Saccharomyces cerevisiae S288C: one gene and its partners. Each later gene encodes a partner of the first gene's protein in a complex. Each region holds a gene or a part of one and is shown in the gene's direction. Other genes may lie near its edges. The genes, in order: SSN8, SRB8 and SSN3.

What was found.
Region 2: the proteins of SSN8 (region 1) and SRB8 are in contact, whole or in part, in a cryo-EM structure (PDB 7KPV), measured with the Saccharomyces cerevisiae proteins. Residues at the interface, in NP_014373.3 of Saccharomyces cerevisiae: Ser2 (codon at 2,015), Gly3 (codon at 2,018), Ser4 (codon at 2,021), Phe5 (codon at 2,024), Trp6 (codon at 2,027), Arg11 (codon at 2,042), Tyr79 (codon at 2,246), Met83 (codon at 2,258), Arg87 (codon at 2,270), Arg92 (codon at 2,285), Gln93 (codon at 2,288), Ser183 (codon at 2,558), Leu184 (codon at 2,561), Lys185 (codon at 2,564), Gln186 (codon at 2,567), Ile187 (codon at 2,570), Val190 (codon at 2,579), Pro195 (codon at 2,594), Phe196 (codon at 2,597), Ser202 (codon at 2,615), Leu205 (codon at 2,624), Gln206 (codon at 2,627), Asn207 (codon at 2,630), Trp209 (codon at 2,636), Ser210 (codon at 2,639), Leu211 (codon at 2,642), Asn213 (codon at 2,648), Asp214 (codon at 2,651), Pro225 (codon at 2,684), Pro226 (codon at 2,687); in NP_010004.1 of Saccharomyces cerevisiae: Asp14 (codon at 2,040), Leu16 (codon at 2,046), His17 (codon at 2,049), Pro18 (codon at 2,052), Tyr19 (codon at 2,055), Val20 (codon at 2,058), Pro21 (codon at 2,061), Ser22 (codon at 2,064), Val29 (codon at 2,085), Tyr30 (codon at 2,088), Pro31 (codon at 2,091), Asp32 (codon at 2,094), Phe33 (codon at 2,097), Lys34 (codon at 2,100), Pro35 (codon at 2,103), Tyr55 (codon at 2,163), His56 (codon at 2,166), Pro58 (codon at 2,172), Met59 (codon at 2,175), Val60 (codon at 2,178), Asn61 (codon at 2,181), Phe62 (codon at 2,184), Glu63 (codon at 2,187), Ser64 (codon at 2,190), Ile65 (codon at 2,193), Ser66 (codon at 2,196), Ala67 (codon at 2,199), Arg68 (codon at 2,202), Ser70 (codon at 2,208), Val71 (codon at 2,211).
Region 3: the proteins of SSN8 (region 1) and SSN3 are in contact, whole or in part, in a cryo-EM structure (PDB 7KPV), measured with the Saccharomyces cerevisiae proteins. Residues at the interface, in NP_014373.3 of Saccharomyces cerevisiae: Ser2 (codon at 2,015), Gly3 (codon at 2,018), Ser8 (codon at 2,033), Thr9 (codon at 2,036), Leu31 (codon at 2,102), Arg92 (codon at 2,285), Tyr94 (codon at 2,291), Phe106 (codon at 2,327), Lys109 (codon at 2,336), Ala110 (codon at 2,339), Glu114 (codon at 2,351), Ile115 (codon at 2,354), Asn116 (codon at 2,357), Met119 (codon at 2,366), Leu127 (codon at 2,390), Lys130 (codon at 2,399), Val131 (codon at 2,402), Glu132 (codon at 2,405), Glu133 (codon at 2,408), Cys134 (codon at 2,411), Arg146 (codon at 2,447), Pro150 (codon at 2,459), Glu151 (codon at 2,462), Phe152 (codon at 2,465), Ile153 (codon at 2,468), Pro154 (codon at 2,471), Pro155 (codon at 2,474), Asp156 (codon at 2,477), Lys159 (codon at 2,486), Thr161 (codon at 2,492); in NP_015283.1 of Saccharomyces cerevisiae: Leu48 (codon at 1,894), Met49 (codon at 1,897), Ala50 (codon at 1,900), Asn51 (codon at 1,903), Asn52 (codon at 1,906), Val54 (codon at 1,912), Phe55 (codon at 1,915), Thr56 (codon at 1,918), Ile57 (codon at 1,921), Pro59 (codon at 1,927), Tyr60 (codon at 1,930), Arg61 (codon at 1,933), Arg63 (codon at 1,939), Lys64 (codon at 1,942), Asp65 (codon at 1,945), Tyr197 (codon at 2,341), Gly199 (codon at 2,347), Ile200 (codon at 2,350), Gln202 (codon at 2,356), Cys205 (codon at 2,365), Arg206 (codon at 2,368), Met208 (codon at 2,374), Ala209 (codon at 2,377), Leu210 (codon at 2,380), Arg212 (codon at 2,386), Glu213 (codon at 2,389), Glu224 (codon at 2,422), Ile225 (codon at 2,425), Leu227 (codon at 2,431), Glu228 (codon at 2,434).

Annotation. Positions count from the first base shown.
Region 1 is NC_001146.8:583,809-587,302, reverse strand, and holds SSN8 (cyclin-dependent protein serine/threonine kinase regulator SSN8), read left to right. Parts: upstream 1-2,011; coding exon 2,012-2,983; downstream 2,984-3,494. Other genes in the region: EFM6 (putative protein-lysine N-methyltransferase), read left to right, coding at 1-196; KSH1 (Ksh1p), read left to right, coding at 483-701. UniProt on the Saccharomyces cerevisiae protein: Component of the SRB8-11 complex. The SRB8-11 complex is a regulatory module of the Mediator complex which is itself involved in regulation of basal and activated RNA polymerase II-dependent transcription.
Region 2 is NC_001135.5:252,371-255,992, forward strand, and holds the start of SRB8 (Srb8p), read left to right. Parts: upstream 1-2,000; coding exon 2,001-3,622. Other genes in the region: deadenylation-dependent mRNA-decapping factor PAT1, read right to left, coding at 1-258; type 2C protein phosphatase PTC6, read left to right, coding at 475-1,803.
Region 3 is NC_001148.4:472,838-476,459, reverse strand, and holds SSN3 (cyclin-dependent serine/threonine protein kinase SSN3), read left to right. Parts: upstream 1-1,752; coding exon 1,753-3,420; downstream 3,421-3,622. Other genes in the region: isoleucine--tRNA ligase ISM1, read left to right, coding at 1-467; MRX11 (Mrx11p), read left to right, coding at 719-1,342. UniProt on the Saccharomyces cerevisiae protein: Component of the SRB8-11 complex. The SRB8-11 complex is a regulatory module of the Mediator complex which is itself involved in regulation of basal and activated RNA polymerase II-dependent transcription.

The DNA of each region.
Region 1 (3,494 bases):
AAAAACACTACTTGATCTCACTCACTGCATAAACCCACCTGTAATCTTGATGGCTTACAAGAAGAGAAGAAAAGCTGATAAACATTTTTTCAACAAGATTAAAAGAAATTTTGACGTTCTTGAAATTACAGATTTTAGTAAATTTGAACATTATCTTAAGGAAAGAACCCACTTGTTTCAGCTTATCAGGAAGTAACCTGACACAGTGAATTTATCTCTTAATGATCCTGATCTTATTATATTTAGTAATGAACTTTTCGATAGACATTTGTAATTCATGAAAAAACGATATAACATTCATTTTTGTAGTGTGGTGTACGCATGGTGGGACTGCTCTTCTTGAGCGAAATTTTGATCTTCAATAGAGTGAGCAACGACAACTCAAGGATAAAGACAGAACAGCGGTAAACATCGTTTGCAAAATAACTAGAGAGCCGGATCGATTTACTTTGCAAAGTTGCGTCCTTTTTCCACGACAGAATATGTCTGCATTATTTAATTTTCGTTCTCTTCTGCAAGTGATATTGTTACTGATTTGTTCATGTTCTTATGTTCATGGGCAGTGGCCGTCTCTCCTAGATCGTTACAAAAATCATGAGGTTTTGGGGGCCTTCTGGAAAATGGCACGTGTTGGTGAAAGGGCCAGTCCATATGTTAGTTTAGCATGTATTTTGATGGCCATCAGTCAATTTAACAGCTGATTGGAAGATACTTAGTCATATGGATTTAAAGTTACGCAAATCAAGGTCATAGAAGGTGCAGTACCTTTTAAAACAAAGAGTATAAGTGGATTCAGACGAAGTGTCTCTTTAATTCTATCGTCTGATAGCGTACAAGTAAGGGTGCTATGAGCTAGCACGCACAGCAAAAATATAAACACTTTTGTATTTTTTTTTATTTTATAGTGTTTTGTGTTGAGTATTCATCTATTCGACCTCTATAGAGATTTAAGAAGGGAATTCATTGTCACAATAAGGACGCATAGTTGTTCATTTTAGACATCATTTACAGCACTTCCGTAAACTACCCCATATTGCGATTGAATACTACCGAAAAGGCTCAAGAATTTACGTGGTGCCCAATCAATTATATAGAATGAGGAACAATGGTAAGTAATGAATAATCATGGTCAGTAATAAAAAAGCAATCTCGTCCATGTTTCTTTTTGAAACTCAGAGCTTGACTCTGTTGCATTGGTATTTCATCATTTGATGAATTATTCACTATTCCATCTTCTTCTTACACAAGTTTACCAATAAATAACTCATCTGAGTTATTCAGACTTTTTATTAGATCAGTTCGGCATATTTAACTATGCAAAAGTTTTACACTGCTAAAAAGTAGTGTAAACAACAAACTGTTAAAAAAATAAAAAGGGGTGAATCCATGGACCAAGAATAGTAAGCTCCATTGGGTTACTCGATCCAGCACGGGAAAGAGCAATCGTCATAACTATGGTTTAGATTCCATACAAACGGAATCCAGTACCGAAGAAAACACCAGTACCCTGCAATAGAGGTACCAGGTCAAGAAGCAGAATACCCAAGGGCATCCTCCTTAATGAGTTGATTTAAACAATTTAAAATTTTTAAATCTCATTACGTTTTCCGCATACGAATTGGTGGGAGACTTTCAACCCAAAGCATATTACTGAGTAAAAAAAATTTTACTCCATTTTGTAAGCTTCGATTTGTGACGATTCTTTGGTCATGGATTGAAGAACTTTAAACGAGAAGAAATTAGAAAACAGGTGAAGACCACTATTTAGTTCTTTACCGCAACATAGGATAAACAAAGTTATTTTCTTACTCCTTTATATATTTGAAAAAATATAAAATCCACGGAAAAACATCGAAAATTCATTTTTCATGAAGGAAAATTAGGGTTCATACAGGAGTAGAGTTCATTGATGTGGTAGCAACCTTGTTAGCACTCATATTGTTCGAACAAAAAATGCCCTCTCAAACTTTAGTTGAAGAGCGATAAGGCATCTGAATCTCAAAAGTTAGACATGTCGGGGAGCTTCTGGACATCTACACAAAGGCATCATTGGCAATATACCAAGGCATCATTGGCTAAAGAGAGGCAGAAGTTATGGCTATTGGAGTGCCAGCTGTTTCCTCAAGGTTTGAATATTGTAATGGATTCGAAGCAAAACGGCATCGAACAATCCATCACAAAGAATATACCAATAACTCACCGAGACTTACACTATGATAAAGATTATAATCTAAGGATCTACTGCTATTTCCTGATAATGAAGCTTGGAAGGAGACTAAATATAAGACAGTATGCACTGGCTACAGCACATATTTATCTATCAAGGTTTTTAATAAAGGCTTCAGTTAGAGAAATAAACCTATATATGCTGGTTACTACGTGTGTATATTTAGCATGCAAAGTTGAAGAATGCCCGCAATATATCAGAACTTTGGTAAGTGAAGCCCGTACCTTATGGCCCGAATTTATTCCTCCTGACCCTACTAAAGTTACTGAGTTTGAGTTCTACTTACTAGAAGAATTGGAAAGTTACTTAATTGTCCACCACCCTTATCAATCCTTAAAGCAAATTGTTCAAGTCTTAAAGCAACCGCCATTTCAAATAACACTATCGTCAGATGATCTACAAAACTGTTGGTCCTTAATCAACGACAGTTATATAAATGATGTTCATTTGCTTTACCCTCCTCATATTATCGCTGTTGCATGTTTATTCATTACGATTTCCATTCATGGGAAACCAACCAAAGGATCATCGTTAGCATCTGCGGCTTCTGAAGCCATCAGAGATCCTAAAAATTCTAGTTCTCCTGTTCAAATAGCTTTTAATCGTTTTATGGCAGAATCTCTTGTAGATCTTGAGGAGGTTATGGATACGATTCAAGAGCAAATTACATTATACGATCATTGGGACAAGTACCACGAACAATGGATAAAGTTTCTGCTACATACTTTGTATCTTAGACCAGCATCTGCAATTTAATCATGCGAAGAATAAATTTAAAAACCGTTAAGCCTGTAAATTCAATCATTATGGTGGTGATGATCCGTTTTGGAAATGTTTCGTCCTTGACTACCTTTGTTTAACATGATATTGGAACGTCAAGACATATTGAGAATAGGTACCGTTATAATGCATAATTAAAAATTGCTTTGATATTGAGGTGGAAAGCTGGGTCGGACCTTGACATGTATTAAATTTAAAGAATCGAACCTAGTGTTTTTTTCTCCAGTGTTCAAAAAATCCTTTCAATTTGGTCTACTGCAGTAGCCCACTTATAACACACATTCAAGATGGGTGAACCGTGGCTCAAACTTCCCCATTTTTCAGAGTATGTGCAACCACAAAACCTTTGTCAGAAATTCTTATGGCAGGCCAAATTGATAAACTAACAGAAATATTAAACGCCCCCCAAGTTAAAATACTAGAACATGTTGGCTTATTTCAAAAACATTTTCTTCCTTTTCTAAAGTGTTTGATAATACTTTTGCAT
Region 2 (3,622 bases), on another chromosome or scaffold:
TCCTTCTGCAGTAGCTGCAACATATGATCTAGCCGTGGCACCGACGCCATTACCACCAATTGCGTTGCCGCTGCTGCCGCTGCTGTGAGGATTTCCAAAATCAAAGTCGGTACCAACCTGAACATTATCACCAAATGTTTCGTCGTTCAAATAGTCGTTCTCCTCAAGTTCGTGCTCGCCATAGCCCTTGTAACTCTCTTCAAAGTCCAGAGGACCATCCCGCGCATTACCGCTATTTTCTAACCCAAAGAAGGACATTGCTAGTGCTTCTTGCTGCTCTTACTTCCGGTTAAAACCTTTGCTTCCTTCAAGGTGTACATGTTTCTTTTCATTCACCTTGTTTCTTTCTTTAAAAAGAGGAAGAGGAAAAAAAAAATTTCGTGTAATGCGAGAAGAACAAATAGGGAAGTGATAACAATAGTATCAATAACAGGCTGCAATCGGGGCAATTAAGCATCAGAAGAGGGGAATTTGATGCGGCTGGGGAATGCTTATGCGTATTGCAAGCCGTCGCAAAATGTTGGGCTGAAGCTGGACTTGTTACGGGGTCTTCCAGGGTACGTGGGTCACGCCACGAGTAGGATCAACCGGTTAGAGAACCAGGACAATTACTCCATTAAAATGATGCGGTCGTGGCCTAATGCGTATGGAAGTGCCCTGAACTGCTCTGTATTCGATGGCCATGGGGAGAAAGGTGCGCAACTGTCACAGTTGTTAGCCGATAAATTGTGCAGTAGCCTGGATTTCCCTGAACCCTCCTGGGACAAGCAGGACTTGAAGAAGTTGGTACAGGAATATGCAAGAAGGTTTCCCGAGGGAAATTACTGGAAACATAAGCTGTCCACGTTTGAAAAATTCTACAACAAGTTTATAAAGAACTGCAACTCGAAACAAGAACTGCTGCTGATGAAGGAGGGCGATAGTGCGATCCTTGGACAAAATGGTGGCAGGATGATTTTTGATAAAATGGGGAATATTATTGACAAAATTGCACTGCTCACTGAGCTAGACCGTCTGCGATTGTTCTACGGGTTTGCCAGGTTCGATCTCGACCAATGCTGCGGCCTGGGCACCGCAGCGGGGTCCACAGCGTCGTCCATATTTCTATATCCGTATGATGATCCGAATGCACCCATTGATGAGGGGAAAGACGATGACTCGTGGATCATATCGCACTCTGGATTGCTCAAACTCATTGTCACGCAGGTGGGCGACTCTAAGATCATCCTCTGCGATCAAGACGGGATTGCACACGCATTAACAACAACTCACCACATCAATTCCAGTAGGGAACGACACCGTTTGAGCATAGACCCTTCTCGATTGGACCCAGACGCCTTTGGAGAGACAAGGTTTTTGAATAATTTCGCCAACACTAGATCGTTTGGTGATGTCGCTGGGAAACCGTATGGTATATCTAGTGAGCCGGATATTTTCTCGTTTCTTGTCGGAAATACCTTGCATTTGCCGCGATCTGAAAGGTCGAAGCTGCCCTTCAATGGTGATGAATGCTTCCTGGCGCTTGTCACCGACGGCATCACCAATAAACTTGCAGACCAAGAGGTTGTTGACCTCATCACCTCTACGGTGAACTCCTGGGGACTGAAAAAGGCGACTCCTCAATTTGTTGCAGAGGAGACAATCAAATTTATTCAGGCAATAGCCACTAAACACTCAGACAACGCCACTTGCGTGGTGGTTAGGCTTTCCAATTGGGGCAACTGGCCCAATGTTGACAGAACTGGCCCCCAAAGAGAAACCAAACTAATGAATGCACAATCTAACGAAACAAAATTAAACTAAACACCCCCCTGGGTGGAAACAAGTCCTAGATAATCATCTTTTGTATTTTTTTTCTTCCTTTTATTAGTATGTATACATATATATTACTTTTTATATTCTTTATAGCGCATTTTAAACACCTTTCTGAAAAAATGCTGAGATTTTTGATGCTAATCGAAAGATTAAAAAAAGGTCTATAGAGGTAAGCCAATAACGCGATGAATAACGGTTCTGGTCGATACTTGCTGACTCCCCCAGATGATCTTCACCCCTATGTGCCAAGCTCGAAACCTCAGGAACAAGTATACCCTGATTTCAAGCCTTGGGAGCACACTGCAGCAGAAGATCAAATCCTAGCAAACTTTGTGGCTAAGGGCTTTTACCATACACCAATGGTAAATTTCGAGTCCATATCTGCGAGATCATCTGTTCATGAATCATTAGTCACTCAATCCAACATTCTTTCCCAGCAATTCGACAAAATTATCAAGATTAGAGAAGACCACATTAATAAGATCCCCTCAAATTCCACGACGACATTACACGGGCCTGGTTTTCAGTTGCCTAATAGAATAACCCTTACTGATCATAGAAAGGAAACGTGGTTGCATGAATTGAGTTCGTCTCACACTTCGCTGGTCAAAATTGGCAAGTTTATACCTCACGGCTTGAAAAGAAGGCAAGTCATCGAGCAGTGCTATTTAAAATTTATACCATTGAAAAGGGCGATTTGGTTGATAAAGTGCTGCTATTTTATCGAATGGAAATCGAACCACAAAAAGAAGAGGTCAAATGCTGCTGGGGCAGATGATGCCATTTCCATGCACCTGCTAAAGGACTGGACGGATACCTTTGTATACATCCTGGAAAAGCTCATCTTTGATATGACAAATCACTATAACGATTCTCAACAACTGCGTACGTGGAAGAGGCAGATTTCTTATTTTTTAAAACTTTTGGGGAATTGCTACTCACTAAGATTGATCAATAAGGAAATCTTTCATCATTGGCTTGTAGAGTTTATAAATAAGATGGAAAACTTCGAATTTTTGCCATTATCTTTACATATTTTGATGATTTTTTGGAACGACATCTGCCAAATTGATACAAATGCTCCTGTTGCGGCTACAATAACATCAAGTCAAAAAGAGCCCTTCTTTCTGGTAACAAAAATCACTGATATGCTATTGCACAAATATTATATTGTTTCCAGCAGCAAATCAATGATAAATGACGAGAACTACATCATCAATGATATAAAGAAAAACAACAAGATAAAGTTGAATATTCTCAAAATATTATCCAGTTTAATTTTGAAAATTTTTCAAGAACAATCTTTAGAGGTGTTTATATTTCCCACATCTAACTGGGAAATTTACAAGCCCTTACTTTTTGAAATAGTCTCAAACGCCGACACTAATCAAAATTCTGATATGAAGAAAAAATTAGAGTTAATTAGTTACAGAAACGAGTCATTGAAGAATAATTCTTCTATACGAAACGTAATAATGTCTGCCAGCAACGCAAATGACTTTCAATTAACTATCGTCACCTGTAAACAATTTCCAAAACTATCATGCATTCAATTAAATTGTATAGATACTCAGTTCACCAAGCTACTGGACGATAACCCTACAGAATTCGATTGGCCCACTTACGTTGACCAAAATCCCCTTACAATGCATAAAATTATTCAATTAATTCTCTGGTCCATACATCCATCAAGGCAATTTGATCACTATGAATCTAATCAACTGGTAGCGAAATTATTACTATTGCGAATAAATTCAACAGATGAGGATTTGCACGAATTCCAGATAGAAGATGCCATTTGGTCATT
Region 3 (3,622 bases), on another chromosome or scaffold:
GGAAGTATATACCAGAAGGATGGTTACAAGGACAAGAACATATAGACATTAATCCGATGCGTGGAAAATGGCCGTTTTTGGACTCAAATACGGAAATCGTCACCTCCTTTGAAAACTTTGAACTAAAAATTCTAAAACAGTTCCAGGAGGAATTCAAGAGGTTAAGTCTAGAAGAAGGTGTCACCAAAACAACACATAGTCACGTTACCATTTTCACCAAGCATCACCTCCCATTCAGTTCTGACGAGCTTTGCGACATATTGCAATCATCTGCTGTTGATATATTGCAAATGGACGATAATAATAACAGTCTACCAACTATTGAATTGGGAAGCGGAATAAACGTTCAAATATTGGTTGAACGAAGCAAAAGGCACAACTGTCCCAGATGTTGGAAGGCCAACTCAGCCGAAGAGGATAAATTGTGTGACAGATGTAAAGAAGCTGTGGATCATCTCATGTCTTGAATGACATGTACCTTTCCTGTATATAAAGAATGCCAATTATTGGCTCTTAGAAAATAAAAACCCTCTTGTACTTATTAGTGGGTACCTAACAGGTCCCCTACTGACATTTTGATGCAGGGCCTCGGCCTATTGTTCTTACCAGCTCTCAGCGCGTTATACGAACAGGAAGCAAAGAAGAGAAATGTAAAAATATTGCTTTTGAGAGACCGTGTAAGGATAAGTGTTACACCCAAGGCACCCTCACCAGGAACATGACTGTCATGAATCTTTTCTTCAGGCCCTGTCAACTGCAGATGGGCTCTGGACCGTTGGAGCTCATGCTTAAAAGGCCAACGCAATTGACCACGTTTATGAACACCAGGCCCGGCGGATCAACCCAAATTAGATTCATATCGGGAAATTTAGATCCAGTGAAAAGAAGGGAGGATAGACTACGTAAAATATTTTCCAAGTCACGACTTTTAACAAGGTTAAACAAGAATCCTAAATTTTCACACTATTTCGACCGCCTCAGTGAGGCCGGCACGGTTCCAACACTTACATCATTCTTCATCTTGCATGAGGTAACTGCCATACTACCACTGTTTCTACTATGGTGGTTACTTTATAACCTCGATCTTTCTGATGATTTTAAGCTCCCAAACTTCTTAAATGGCCTAATGGATAGCTGTCATACAGCTATGGAGAAATTTGTTGGTAAGAGATATCAGGAATGCCTCAACAAAAACAAGTTGATTTTATCTGGCACAGTAGCCTACGTTACAGTAAAATTACTATATCCGGTACGCATTTTCATTAGTATCTGGGGAGCACCATATTTTGGGAAATGGTTGCTTCTTCCCTTTCAAAAATTAAAGCACCTTATTAAGAAATAAAGCTTTTTTTTCCTTTTTTTTTTCTGGCCCAGAGACGGATTATTGTTTTCAGTTGAAGTTGCGCACTCGGCATATGATTTATAGATTCCCAATATATTGTACTTCGTTATATATGTGTTACGAATATTTTTGATTTCGTTTTAGAGAGTTTTGATTAGAGGAAATTATAGCTTTTTTTAACAGTGAAATAAATATCATACATCAAAAGTCTTCAAGAATTACGTGGTGTGGCTTAAGTTGCGTTTCATTTTCCCGCTTCAATACTTGAAAGTTATCCCACAATCACTGCTGACAAAAAGGATACAAGAAAGGTTTATAGGAAAGAAAAAAGGCGGAAGGGTATACTGAAGTTAGTAATTTTGCTTCCCAATTGAATTAAGGCCGCCTAGTTTTGACGGGAGGAGAGAGAAATGTATAATGGCAAGGATAGAGCACAAAACTCCTATCAGCCAATGTACCAAAGGCCTATGCAGGTACAAGGACAACAGCAAGCTCAATCGTTCGTTGGAAAGAAAAACACAATCGGAAGTGTGCATGGAAAAGCCCCGATGCTAATGGCCAATAATGATGTTTTTACTATTGGACCTTATAGGGCAAGAAAAGATAGAATGCGGGTATCTGTCTTAGAAAAGTACGAAGTTATTGGCTACATTGCTGCGGGCACATATGGTAAAGTTTACAAAGCGAAAAGACAAATCAACTCCGGTACCAATTCCGCTAATGGTTCTAGTCTGAATGGTACCAATGCGAAAATTCCGCAGTTTGACAGCACGCAACCAAAATCAAGCTCTTCAATGGACATGCAGGCAAATACAAACGCATTAAGAAGAAACTTGTTAAAGGATGAAGGAGTGACCCCCGGAAGAATACGAACTACGAGGGAAGATGTATCCCCGCACTATAATTCCCAAAAACAAACCCTCATTAAAAAACCGCTGACGGTATTTTATGCCATTAAAAAGTTCAAGACAGAGAAGGATGGCGTCGAACAATTGCATTATACGGGAATATCTCAGAGTGCCTGTAGAGAAATGGCATTATGTCGAGAATTGCACAACAAGCATTTAACCACATTAGTGGAAATTTTTTTGGAAAGGAAATGTGTCCATATGGTATACGAATATGCGGAGCATGATCTGCTACAAATTATCCACTTCCATTCCCATCCCGAAAAAAGGATGATACCACCAAGAATGGTTCGGTCTATTATGTGGCAGCTTTTAGACGGCGTATCGTATCTTCATCAAAATTGGGTGCTTCATCGAGATTTGAAACCCGCAAATATAATGGTGACCATAGATGGATGTGTTAAAATTGGTGATTTAGGTTTGGCCAGAAAATTTCATAATATGCTGCAAACCCTCTATACTGGGGATAAAGTGGTTGTCACTATATGGTACCGTGCACCTGAGTTGCTATTGGGAGCACGGCACTATACCCCTGCGGTTGATTTATGGTCCGTTGGCTGCATTTTTGCAGAACTGATAGGATTACAGCCCATATTTAAAGGTGAAGAAGCTAAACTAGACTCTAAAAAGACTGTTCCATTTCAAGTGAATCAACTACAGAGAATTTTGGAAGTTCTTGGCACTCCCGATCAAAAAATTTGGCCTTATTTGGAGAAGTATCCAGAATATGATCAAATTACGAAGTTTCCAAAGTATAGGGATAACCTTGCTACATGGTATCATTCCGCGGGAGGAAGGGACAAGCATGCTTTAAGCTTACTTTACCACTTGTTAAATTATGATCCAATTAAAAGAATAGATGCATTTAATGCGTTGGAACATAAGTACTTCACAGAAAGTGATATTCCTGTTAGTGAAAATGTATTTGAAGGTCTAACTTACAAATACCCGGCAAGAAGAATTCACACGAACGATAATGACATCATGAATCTTGGATCAAGAACGAAAAACAATACACAAGCTTCAGGAATCACCGCAGGTGCCGCTGCAAATGCGTTAGGTGGGCTTGGTGTTAACCGTAGAATTCTGGCCGCGGCAGCAGCAGCCGCTGCTGCGGTGTCAGGAAACAATGCATCAGATGAGCCATCTCGAAAGAAAAACAGAAGATAGGCTTCTATTTTTATATATATTTGGAATTTTTCATTCCACAGCACTGTCACTATTATATTCATTAAACTTTTTTTTATCTTTATAGTATTTAAATCGGCATACAGTTTCAATTTTTCGCTTTAGAGGCACTAAGAATGCAAGTCTGCAACATTCAGGTAAAATAATGGGTTGATTTTAGGTCGAGCTAAAACCCTGTTCTCCG